Lepisosteus oculatus: one gene and its partners. The protein of the gene in region 1 interacts with the protein of each later gene in a pairwise test. Links are inferred from orthologs where the notes say so. Each region holds a gene or a part of one and is shown on either strand. Other genes may lie near its edges. The genes, in order: liprin-alpha-1, receptor-type tyrosine-protein phosphatase delta and ccnh.

Region 1 (3,755 bases):
CATTGTGTTCAGCTCAGTGCTCCTTACAACCAAATGTCCAACACTGGGCAATTTGTCCTCAGGAAGACGTTTATGGCCATCAGATATAGAGCTCCTAATATTAAAGGCATTTAGTTTTCGTTTATCAAATGCACTGTCAAAAATAGAAATCAGAATAATATCCCTTTACAACATAGCACTTACACAAGAGTCAATCCCACTTACTTGCATGTCAACATTCTTCTATTGGTTTAATGATAGCAGCTCTTTCAACAATTTGCAGTTTAATTGTACTTAACTAAGGAGTATGGGTGTTTTTATTCAGAAAACATGTTCTGATTACAAAGATACACAGCGTGGGGCAAAGGTTAATATTATCTACTTATTAGCTATTGAACGGGTAGGTCTGAGGACACACAGACAGGAACAAAGTACACCCATAAATGTCAATCAATTTGTGAGGAAAATTAAAAAGGACAATCTATCTGGACAATACTTTTTAGGCACTTCAATATCTGTTATCAATAAGTTATTTTTTAGTTTTCCATTGACACAGAGTGCTGTATCCATTTAAACTGATAATGTGGAAGATCTGTGGTCCTGGAAATTATCTTAAATGCATTACTGACTGCATAAAGAATGCCTGGAGTGACTTAGAAATGCAGGCTTTCAAGCTTAATGTACTGGGATAATTCATGATCATTCACTTAGGACACACGCTTTAAAGAGATACATACTTCTGTCTATTGGTTGCTCAAAATGAAGTTTATGTCTTACAAATAAATCATCAGAAAGGACATCAGAGTAATAAACAGGAAAAAACCCTCTGACTTAAAATATTTGGTTCTTCTACTGGGAAGAAAATAAATTGAGCGCAGAATTTAAATAATCACGTTGGTCTTCTCTTCATAAACTCACAATGTGTCACCACAGGGAAATATTTTCAGCTCGAGCAGACTCAATGTTTACGAATTCCAACCCCCTGAAAAACAACCAAGATCCTTCCTGTGCAGTATTGGTACAGCATACGCTGGATAGAACTAAGCTGCCAATTCTCCTATTCTAATTTCGTTTTTATAAAGTATTGGCCTTTATTGTGAAAGAAAACCAATTTAAATGTAAAAAATGGAATTCAAATGAAACCAGTTTTACTGTATATTAAACTCGTTTAAAAAAAGCGGAGAGGGTCTTTTTATATAGGTACATTATTCGGTCTAAAAATGATGCTCTGCACCCTTTATGATAAAAATAAGCGGAGGCGGCTACCTGTCAGAGCAGATGTGTTCGTCTGGAGTAACAGAATGAAGGAAAAGCTGTAACAGTTTTGTGAAAAGCGCTTATTCAACAGTTTACTGTGCGCCAGTGACGCACTGTGTGTGTGTATTGATTAGTTCCATTCGCGAGCCAGAGGCCCAGTAGGTAACCAAGCAATTAAGTTTTCCACTGCCCTCTTAGAGGTGTCTGCTCATTTAAAGGCTTTGTACAGCACGATAATGGAGCTGCGTGATCTCGAAGCCTTACATAAAGAAAGCTAACTCACCTTGCATCAGACACTGTATTTGCAAATTCATAAACAATTTAAATAAATAAAAAACTTAGAAAAAGTAACCCTCTGTTGTTGCAAGTGTGCAGGCGTTACAGTCGGATGCTTAGCTAAAACAAAGGAACACTTTTCAATAGAAAACGAGGGGGTTAAGAAACCGCTGTCTCCCTCCATATTTATAAATACACAAAGAACACTGTTTACCTTGCCAGAGAGGAGGAAATATCTTCTGTCAATTCCACTTTCCCCTCTTGTATGAGCTTGTTAATACAATCCTTTATGATTATTGTTATTAGCAGCTTTTTAAAAAACGAAAAACAATATTTAAAGTGCTATCAGGTATCCTCCAAGCCATCCAACAGTAATAAATCCATCAAAGACGTAAAATAAAATATTAAACAGCTACCCAGATGGCAAAAAAGAAAATCCCAAAGGCCCGAAAGAGCGAAAGAGACTTGGATTCCCGTGACTTCCTGAATTAATGATGTATTTTAAGAACTACGAGCGCTAAAAAACAACTAAGTTACCTTATTAAGGTAAAATATAACGATCACAGCCAATCATAATAACCTCCTACAAATACCCACAGTGTTAGTGGGATAATAATATCAAACGCTCCTGGAAAACAGATGTAAACTAAGGCAATCCTGCAATTTTTATCTTCTTTAGCTGCAACCAGCGATCGGGCCCGCAACGCGTTATAATCCAGTTTCTATTAACCAGGGAGCCATCGCAAACAGCTAGGAGGACGCCGGACAGAAAACATCGAATTGGTACAGTATTTCCTCTTCGCTGCTTCTCTGTTGTCGAGGGTCTCTCCTTTCAGCCGCGTCACCAGCCCAGAAGAAAAGCAGACTCCTTTTCCAAGGGATCCGAGGAGCAGTGAGAAGCAGAGGGGATACTTGAAACTCCTTAGTCGATAAAAATCCCAATTTATCCTCAGTTCGGAAATACAGATGTCCCGGATTCCTTTGTTTCCGGGATGCCCGAGGCCGAAGTCATCCAGCGCCCGTTAATGTAACAGGGTTCAACCCCGGTTTGGTCGTCCTCTTCTGTCAGAACTACTTCTCTCCCTTTCCGTGCTGGAGCCTCGGCTCTCGTTATCTCCAGTTTCCTGTTCTCCAATAAATCACTGCGTGACGTTCCCAACGTGCACTGCGCGCTGGGAAGTATCCACTTCCAAACTGCAGCGCCCTCTGAGGTTATCCCCGGAATTAAATACGGGAATACCCCCTCCAAAATCAAGTGAAGTCAGGTAAACTGCCCCCAATTGACTACTAGTAACCAATTGAGTTAGATGGGCCTAATGGCCTGATTTTGTTTGTAACCTTTTTTTTTATTTTCTTACTAAAATCGACTAAAATGTTTATTTCCTTCCTAAAATCTGCCTCACAGTCTCACATTCATGCAGCCATTGGAGATGTACTGTATGGTCGGAGCCAAAAGGGCTTTTTTAAAATTATGCCCACATTTTTCCATATACTGTACCAGCCTCTAACCATCGTGCGTGAATAATTAAAGACTATACTGACGTTTCTTTGTCAAAGAGAAATGTGCCCACATGAGACTGAAGACAGGAAGGGTTGAAAAAGATGAAAATGTCAATCAATTGTTTAAGATGCAAGCCTTTATTTTATGGCTTTGTCTGGGGTGTGTTTTTAGCTGTTATATTCTTACATGGCCAGAAGTTATTTAATAAGAAACAATATGTTTGAAATCAATCTTTATACCATAAAGCACTCAGATTACTAATACTACTGTTTCCTGTTTCATTTAAATAATTTACCATTACCTGACCATATTGACACCCCTAGTCATTTCACTGACCCCAGCCTTTCCCCCTGCCTTGAGGGACCTATCACTCTAAATTACTGTAATTAGTCATGAACATCCTTTCTGAATAGATGGAGGTCAAAGGTTAAGCTCTCCACACCTCGTTGTGTTCTATTTTCCTTTCTTTTCCCAATTTACCAGGATAATATAACGGCCTTAAAGCCCTCTGGTGCATCCACAAAGTGACAATAACTGCAGTATGGTTGTGGGAAAGATGGGACTTCAGTTGTGCTTTTAACTGGGAGTGCATGGATTTCTGGGAAGTGCTTCATTAAAAATGTCCCGAAATACAGGCTGTGACTTTCTGATAGAAGAACATCAGAACATTAAAACATGAGAAAAAAAGTATTAAAATTAGTTCTCACACAAAGGGCTCTTGCTCATTGTTTTCTTCCAGTCC
Region 2 (3,755 bases), on another chromosome or scaffold:
ATTTACAGAAATGCTTTCATTGAGTGGAACATATCCCCATTAAAGAAGAAGCATATCATTTTTAACCACCAAAGATTTAATTAGTGATTTTGTTTTCTTGCAAAACTTCAGTTGTTTATAATATTGTATGAAAGGTCTACTGATAGGTCCCATTTATTTTTGTAGTTGTAAACAAGCTAGCTCTGTTGCTGTATTTTAAAATACTTCTGTTTTTTAAAGTAAACGGAGCCATCTCTTTCAAGTCCTAGATTAGCATTTATTATCCACAAATGCACCTAATCCTTGAGGTAAAAACATGTATGCTAAAATCAAATTAATTTTCTTTGTAAGCTTAACAAAGATTCCTATCTGACAAATACAGTATCTTCATCACAAGGCCAGCTTGTTATATAGGTTACAGTTTCCATTTCCCTCGAGAATTACAGTACTGTACTCCAAAGGTTTTGCTAAAACATATTTGATGGAAAACAGTGTTTTCTCTAAAGTGTAAAGGGAAAACAGCTGCATAGAAACAAAACTAAAAAATAAAAAAATAAAAATAAATCACATAACGTGACTGGGAATTAGTATAGTATACTATGGTATAGTAATTAGAATTTAGCAGAGTTAACACACATGCAGAAACTATAGTTATAGCTGTTTTGAACTTAAAGGTCACAGTGTCAATAGCAGATAACATGTCTCATTAAATAATTAAATCATGATTATTTCAGAGAATCTCAAATTATAGTAAAGATTGCCACTATATACACACACACATTTGGCTTCATCAACAAGTGAGGTATGGTTATTGTAGACTTCAATCAGGTGAAAAGTGTCTCCTGTGGTGTGTGGTGTAAAAAGGAAATGTCCATTTCTGAGCTAAAGTGGCTCATTGAGCCAGAGCTCATCCTGGTTTCTGTCGCTTTAAGCAAATTAGGGAGCATGTGACTTCCCTGGATGGGATGCTGGTCCATCACATGGATACCCCCAGCAATGCTGGCTCCCGGTTATACTACTGGGTGGACTGGAGCAAATAGGGTACCTCTCTTAAGGTACAGGTACCTGTACAACAGCAGTGTCTGCAGCAGAGACTTGAACCCACAAACTGTCAACTATGAGTCCAAAGGATTACCTACTACACTACGTCACCACCTGGTGTGAGACATTGCCAAATCTAAGAATGTGAAAATGTGAAACAGTGAATTAAAAAAAATGCAATAGTTATAAGGAAACAGAAGGGGCCCCATGATTTTGCAACATTGTTTACATCTTCATCACATGAGTATACAGTAAGACACCCTCCCATGACTGAAACACAGGCTGTCAACTCACTTGGCTGGCCTGTCCAAGAGGACACACTGAGGCAAGTCCTAGAAAAGTTTCCCTACATCTACATTCTACAGTAAAGTGAAGGGCTAAAGCCTCTGGAGAAGACAAAACAACTTAAATTCAACCAAAATACTTCAGCTTTCAAAAACAAAAGCAATAGGATAGGAAAATAACAGGTTTAAGTCACAAAACTACTATTATTAAGTGCAAGACAAACCTACATTCTTTTCTTATTCCATCAGACTTGGCAATACATTTATTTTGCAGCATCAAAATAAAAAGGCTAAATTCAATTATGTTTTTTTTTTTCCAATTGTATGGACATTGAAAATAATGTATCCATTACAGAAATGGACTTTTTAGAGACAGCATATTCTATTAGTTACAGATTTACAGGAAAACATGACTATAAATATTTTATTAGATGGCATCATGATAATTAGCAGGCATTTTTATAAGAACATATTGCACCTCCAAGCCATTATCACCAACCACAATTTTAAATCAACGTTTCGAAAATGAGCCATGTATTTGCTGGATGTGGCTTAAAAATATCCCACCTCAGCAATTCCTTACAACTGAGCCAACACAAACTCATAATTGAATACTTCCCACAGTCAGTCTATGTAATGCCATTATATAGCACTAGGAACCACTGCAACTAAAAAACACAATGCAAGTACAACTCCAATAGCTACTTACTATACACCCAGTTAGATGGTTTCAAATGCCTTGGAAACTGGAATTTAACAACAAAAAAGGCAATGATAAGCAACTATTTAAGAATATACATAACAAAAACATATCAACACATACATTTATTCATGGAAACCAATATTTATATGACTTTACATAACACAATTGAAATGATTACTTACTAAGACATCCAGTATAAATCTCTTTGGAAATCCAGAGGAGTCTTATCTTTCTTCTCCCCAGTCAGAAACAGCAATGCTTTCTTATTCCAGACACAGGCCCCAAATGAACTGCAAAAGAGAATACATCACACAGGCACATCAGCCCCATTAATATATCTGGGGTTCCCCCCAAAAAGTGTAATTGTTTCAGAGAGAAGAAGTAAAATATGCATTCATTGTTAAGTTATCTGCAAGGGTAGTTGGTACCTGCTCTCTCTCTCTCTCTCTTGCTGTAGCTGGAGACAATGAGAGCGGTAATGAGAAAGACAGAAAAGTGAGAGCTAAGCTTTCTTTAGAGAGACAGTGCTGCTGTCAAATTGTACCACACACTGCTGCTGGCGATGTAAGGAGAGCGAGAGGCACAGCGAATGCGAGCAAGGGAGAGAGAGAGACCGAGCGAGAAATAGATGAGATGCTTTCACACACCTGCATTTCCTTAACGAGCCACTTGATGGCCGGCAGGAAGAGCATTTTTGCTGTTCCTTTCCCTTTGACACCGACGCTGTCGATGATTAGCAGAAGAATTAGTTGTTTCCAGATTGCTGTGTCAAGCTGCAATCCATTACAACTAGATTAGTTGCGCTGATAAAATGTAGAACACAGCACCTCGGTAGCATGTAGCTTCCGAAATGCTGACATTTAGCTGATTTTCAAGTTGCAAAAGTATTGAAGGTTCCAATCTTTGCGCTTGTTAGAAGAATGGAGAGAGAACCTGCTGGCATTAATACCTCCGGCAGCAGGGGAAACTTCATCTCAAGAAAATGACTGTTTTGCATATGTGAAAGTTTTTTTTTTCTAGTATTGTGAATGTATGTATTTGTTCTGCATTCGTGACGGCGCCACTGTGCTTACTGCTAACCAGTTAAATGCGAATAAGAAAATTAGGAGGGATGGTACCCGCAGTGTATTCTAACTACTGGATAACAAACCTGAAGATCCGCTTTCGGGCAGTACGTCTGAGATGGGTGTTTTTCAATTAAGCAAAGCCAGTTTGTGTACAGTATGTGTGTGTTTGGTGTACTGCAAAATAAGTGTAAAGCAAACACTTCATCACGAACTGTAAGATCGTAAGAATCACATCATCTGAATCGCGAAATCACGTTGTACTTGGTACAGTGTGGGCATTGTACATACGATTCAATTTGAAAAAGTGTTACTTTCGCTTACTGAATTCGTTTTTAACCGACTTTTTAAAACTGCATATCAGTCTTTTTATTTGATCCAGAAGGAAATTAATTCAATTTCAGTGAGGCTCGGCTACAAAAGTCGACCCTCACCGATCAATTTACAGACTGCCAATTTAAAGCTTTCACACAATCCTTGAGACAGAATAGTGTTTACATTTCAAAATATTCTTAAGGTAATTATTTTTGTGTATTGAGATGAGATTTTTACTAAAGAATTAATGATACAGGTTCCTTATTTAATTGTATAGCATCTTGTCAATTAGTATTTCGCCCTAGTTTGCTCAAATTACTCCTCTTTAGTTTGAGTAGCAGCAGAAAGTGATTATTTTTATATGATATG
Region 3 (3,755 bases), on another chromosome or scaffold:
CACAAAACAAATCAATAAACACAAGGCAGGATGCACTTTGGTCGGGACATCAGTCCCTCAGTGGGCCCACTGGCACAAAGACACACACTCACACCAGGGCCTGTTTTCCCAGATGCATATTAACCTACCAGTATGCTTTTGGACCCACGCGAACAAGCAGAGAACATACAAACTCCACACAGACAGCACCCCAGGGCCCCAGTGCAGAGAGGCAGCGATGCCACCCCCTATTAAGTTTAAAACATTTCGTTGGATCATTTTGTAATTTCACAAAATTGGACAGCACAGTACAGGTCAGGAGTATGCTCTGTATATTGAGAATAACTGAATTGGTATTTGGAACTATGATACCCTGCAGTGCAGTGTCAACAACCTTAAAATATATGGTTTTGCACTAATACTACAGTCTAGATAAAATGCATGAAATGGAAATTATGTCTAATAATATACTGAGTTTTAACTGTATATTTCACTCTTCATCACATGCTGTTGTAATCTCCATTTCGCATTTCATAAGGCTATAACAGAGTGGGACATGCATCTTCTCTAGCTCATTTGGTTTTCAGCAGCTAACCGACTGAAAAGTTCACCCGTTTCTTTACAGAAGCCAGGGTATCAGCTTTGATAACGGGGCTGGACAGCTTGTTCCAGATCCCTACAACCCTTTGTGTAGGAATCGCCACCTATTCGTTGTTCAACACTAAACTTTCCACCCCGGCCACTATCTCCATAACCAGGAAATCTCCATATCTAGGTAAAACTAAGCAAAGTAGCAGATAAGTAACATTACAATAATGTTAACTCTCCGGATATGTTCATATAAAATCTGTAACATGATTAAAAAAAACATTAGAACCCATTCTTCAGTATAAACAACGTAAGATAAACAGTATTTTGTAGCGCAGATGGGTGTGCGGCTGTACTCGGATTTCTACGGTACTACTGAATACGTCATCATAACTGGAAGGACCCAAACGTTGCCTGTAGTTGTGCCTGACGAGTTAGTGGGAGTTTTTCTTAGGTTTGATGTAGTTTAGTTGCTGAGTTTTTTATACTAGAAACATTATACTGATATTTTTGTTAGTTAAAAAAGGAAGCGCAAATCAAAGTTCACGTCGCCATTGATACAATTATAAAAGGTAAACGCTTTTGGATTTTTAACTATAGCTGCGAAAGCAAAGTAGACAAAAGATTCTCGTCTTCGGAAATTAATGCACTGTGGTGTTTTTCCTAAAATGAATTCCACGCATGATAGTTTTAATAAGGCTTATTGTTATTAAAATTTAAGGTTTTAAGCGATGCATATGGAAAATGTAGTACTAACATCGCAGTGATCCAGTACGTAGGACATGATACTTTGTTGAATTAATATTTATATATAATGCAATGATACGCATTAATTTGTACAGCAGAACTGATAACATTGAATAGTTGTCCTGTTGGGGCTTTTTGTTTTGAAGGTCTTTTTTGACATGCCTTCAATCTAGGCATTGAAATATTTCTAGAGTTCTGTACTCTTGCTATTTGGTGAGAAGCGGTCAATAAGCTTTATGTTTTTATTGGTCTGCAAGGGCAACGAGGAAGAACACATCAGTTAAAATGTTAACGGACTTTACTTATAGTTCTCAGTTTAAGTAAATTAAAAGGAATACGACACGCCATTATTTCCTTAACGACGTACTGTGGTGATGAACAACGCACCTTCTCAAGTTTAAATCCGTGATTGTCTGCCTTTAGCTACTCCTTTACAAAGTTGGAGTCAAAAATTGTTCTGCCGTTTGTTTTTCGATCTCCATCGTACCCGTTGCCTACTGTGTTTATATACCTTATAGGAAATGTATCACAACAGCTCTCAGAAAAAGTACTGGACTTTCCAGAATGAAGAAGCGATGGACAAGCTGAGATATCAAGCCAATAAGAAATTCGTATCAAAGGTCACAGCGAGTGGAAAGGTAAAAATGCATTATGAATGACAAATGTGTATTAAATGAATCTGATTATATCGTTGAAATAAACTCACCAACACCTGTGGCAGCTCTTAATTTAGTATCTTTGTAGAGCATTGTATGGCACCATTAAGTCCCAGCTGTTTAAAGAGCTTGTAAGGAACAAACAGGTTAATTCAAAGTATTGGCTTTAATAACCGTAGCTTGTTCTATACTCCCACAGTCTATGGAACTAACGAAGGTAAAGAAGTTCCTACTGTTTTTGGTGTAAATGCGCTTCCACGTTTTCTCCCTGCTTTGTGGTTCACCATTCATTCTGAAGACATCTGCTGAGTTGAACTTGTCAATGTCTTTGAGGGTTTTCAATACTTGCCATTGCAATGACTTGTAATTATCTTCGTCCAAGAGCAAAGTACTTTCCTCATGTTTGCTCTAGTTATGACCAGCTGCAGGTGGTCGCTGACATTGATCTTTATGTCCTCAGAGAAATGCCCCTCTCTCCACATGGTGCAGCTTGAGTCCTGTCGTGTCCCAAAGTCTCAGTACCATGAGTCCTACATTGGGTGTTTAAGACTCAATATGATACCACAATATGATGAAAATATAAAGAACGTGCCTGCTGTGCTCAGTAAAGCTTTTCTTTTTATTTAATTCATCTTAAAGACGTCAGTTAAGCCTGCACAAGATAGCCAATGTGTGCCTGTGTTCAGGTCAGAATAGATCCTCGCAGGTTGATTCAGTTTTCCTCTGCATAAGTGGAACAACCTGCAGAACAAGCTGAAACTACAAACCACAACCGTCTAGGTTGTATGATTTAATGTTTTCTGCCCGATATTTGCACTTCTTAACACAGATTTGACCTGTCAGTAATCATTGAGTATTTTCTTTTTCTGCGATGCGATAAGCTTGTTTTTTAGGTTATTATGAATTAGAATTTGTTCTCAGCTGCATTAGCTGGTTAAATAAAGGCCTGTTGCTGTCTTGGGTGAAGATGAAGCTGCAGGTACCTGCAGAACAATGTCATTGTGGTTTGCTTGAAGAATGTACTTCATTGATGCTGAAAGCACAGCATGTGTGGATTTAGGTTCTATGTAATGGCAAATTGATTTGCATTACACGGTGTCTTTCTAAATCTGTGTTCTGTTTTGTCTGTAGGCTGGAATAAATGAATCCTTATTTCTGGATCCCAGGGAGGAAGATGTGATATTTAAGCATTATGAGAAGAGGCTTCTGGACTTCTGTGCATTTTTTAAGCCAGCAATGCCAAAATCTGTTGTGGTAATTCCTACATATTCCAAACTTCCATGTAATATACTGTAGTACTTCAGCTAACAGTAGCCGCAGTACAGGGCTGAATTATTGTATTGAAGTACAGCTGCAGTGAAGTTATTTAAAAAAAACATATAGGGTTAGAATGTTATATTAAAATGGTGTTGCAGCCCAGCAAGTAGCTTGTTTTAAAGTTTCAGATTTTGTTCATTACCTTTACAAAATTAATATTTAAGGTGTGATATAAATTAGCAATGCAGCGGTGACTAAAGATTTTCATCTATAACATCTTAATAACAGTGTCTGTCGGGAAAGTTTTTTAATAATTGCTTTCGTTTTTTGTACTTAGGGCACAGCAAGTATGTATTTCAGGAGATTTTACTTGAATAATTCAGTAATGGAGTACCATCCACGGATAATCATGTGAGTACTTTGGATTTGTCCTTCTATAGTATTGTTCAACAATTTGTAATAATTTGTAATAAGTAGATATCACATCAACTGTAAACTGCATTGTTTCGTATATTTAAATTAGATATG

Evidence for each region.
Region 2: the proteins of liprin-alpha-1 (region 1) and receptor-type tyrosine-protein phosphatase delta interact in a two-hybrid assay, tested with the Homo sapiens proteins (2 studies listed by BioGRID). The link is inferred for Lepisosteus oculatus from reciprocal best matches to the Homo sapiens genes PPFIA1 and PTPRD.
Region 3: the proteins of liprin-alpha-1 (region 1) and ccnh interact in binary tests that used the Homo sapiens proteins (3 or more experiments, as listed by UniProt). The link is inferred for Lepisosteus oculatus from reciprocal best matches to the Homo sapiens genes PPFIA1 and CCNH.

Annotation. Positions count from the first base shown.
Region 1 is NC_090716.1:5,716,413-5,720,167, reverse strand, and holds the start of liprin-alpha-1, read right to left. Parts: upstream 2,658-3,755; 5' UTR 1,727-2,657; intron 1-1,726. UniProt on the Homo sapiens protein: May regulate the disassembly of focal adhesions. May localize receptor-like tyrosine phosphatases type 2A at specific sites on the plasma membrane, possibly regulating their interaction with the extracellular environment and their association with substrates.
Region 2 is NC_090696.1:70,733,197-70,736,951, reverse strand, and holds the start of receptor-type tyrosine-protein phosphatase delta, read right to left. Parts: upstream 2,582-3,755; 5' UTR 2,436-2,581; intron 2,298-2,435; 5' UTR 2,190-2,297; intron 2,051-2,189; 5' UTR 2,014-2,050; intron 1-2,013.
Region 3 is NC_090698.1:71,955,997-71,959,751, reverse strand, and holds the start of ccnh (cyclin-H), read left to right. Parts: upstream 1-971; 5' UTR 972-1,139; intron 1,140-1,832; 5' UTR 1,833-1,835; coding exon 1,836-1,952; intron 1,953-3,101; coding exon 3,102-3,224; intron 3,225-3,564; coding exon 3,565-3,638; intron 3,639-3,755. UniProt on the Homo sapiens protein: Regulates CDK7, the catalytic subunit of the CDK-activating kinase (CAK) enzymatic complex. CAK activates the cyclin-associated kinases CDK1, CDK2, CDK4 and CDK6 by threonine phosphorylation.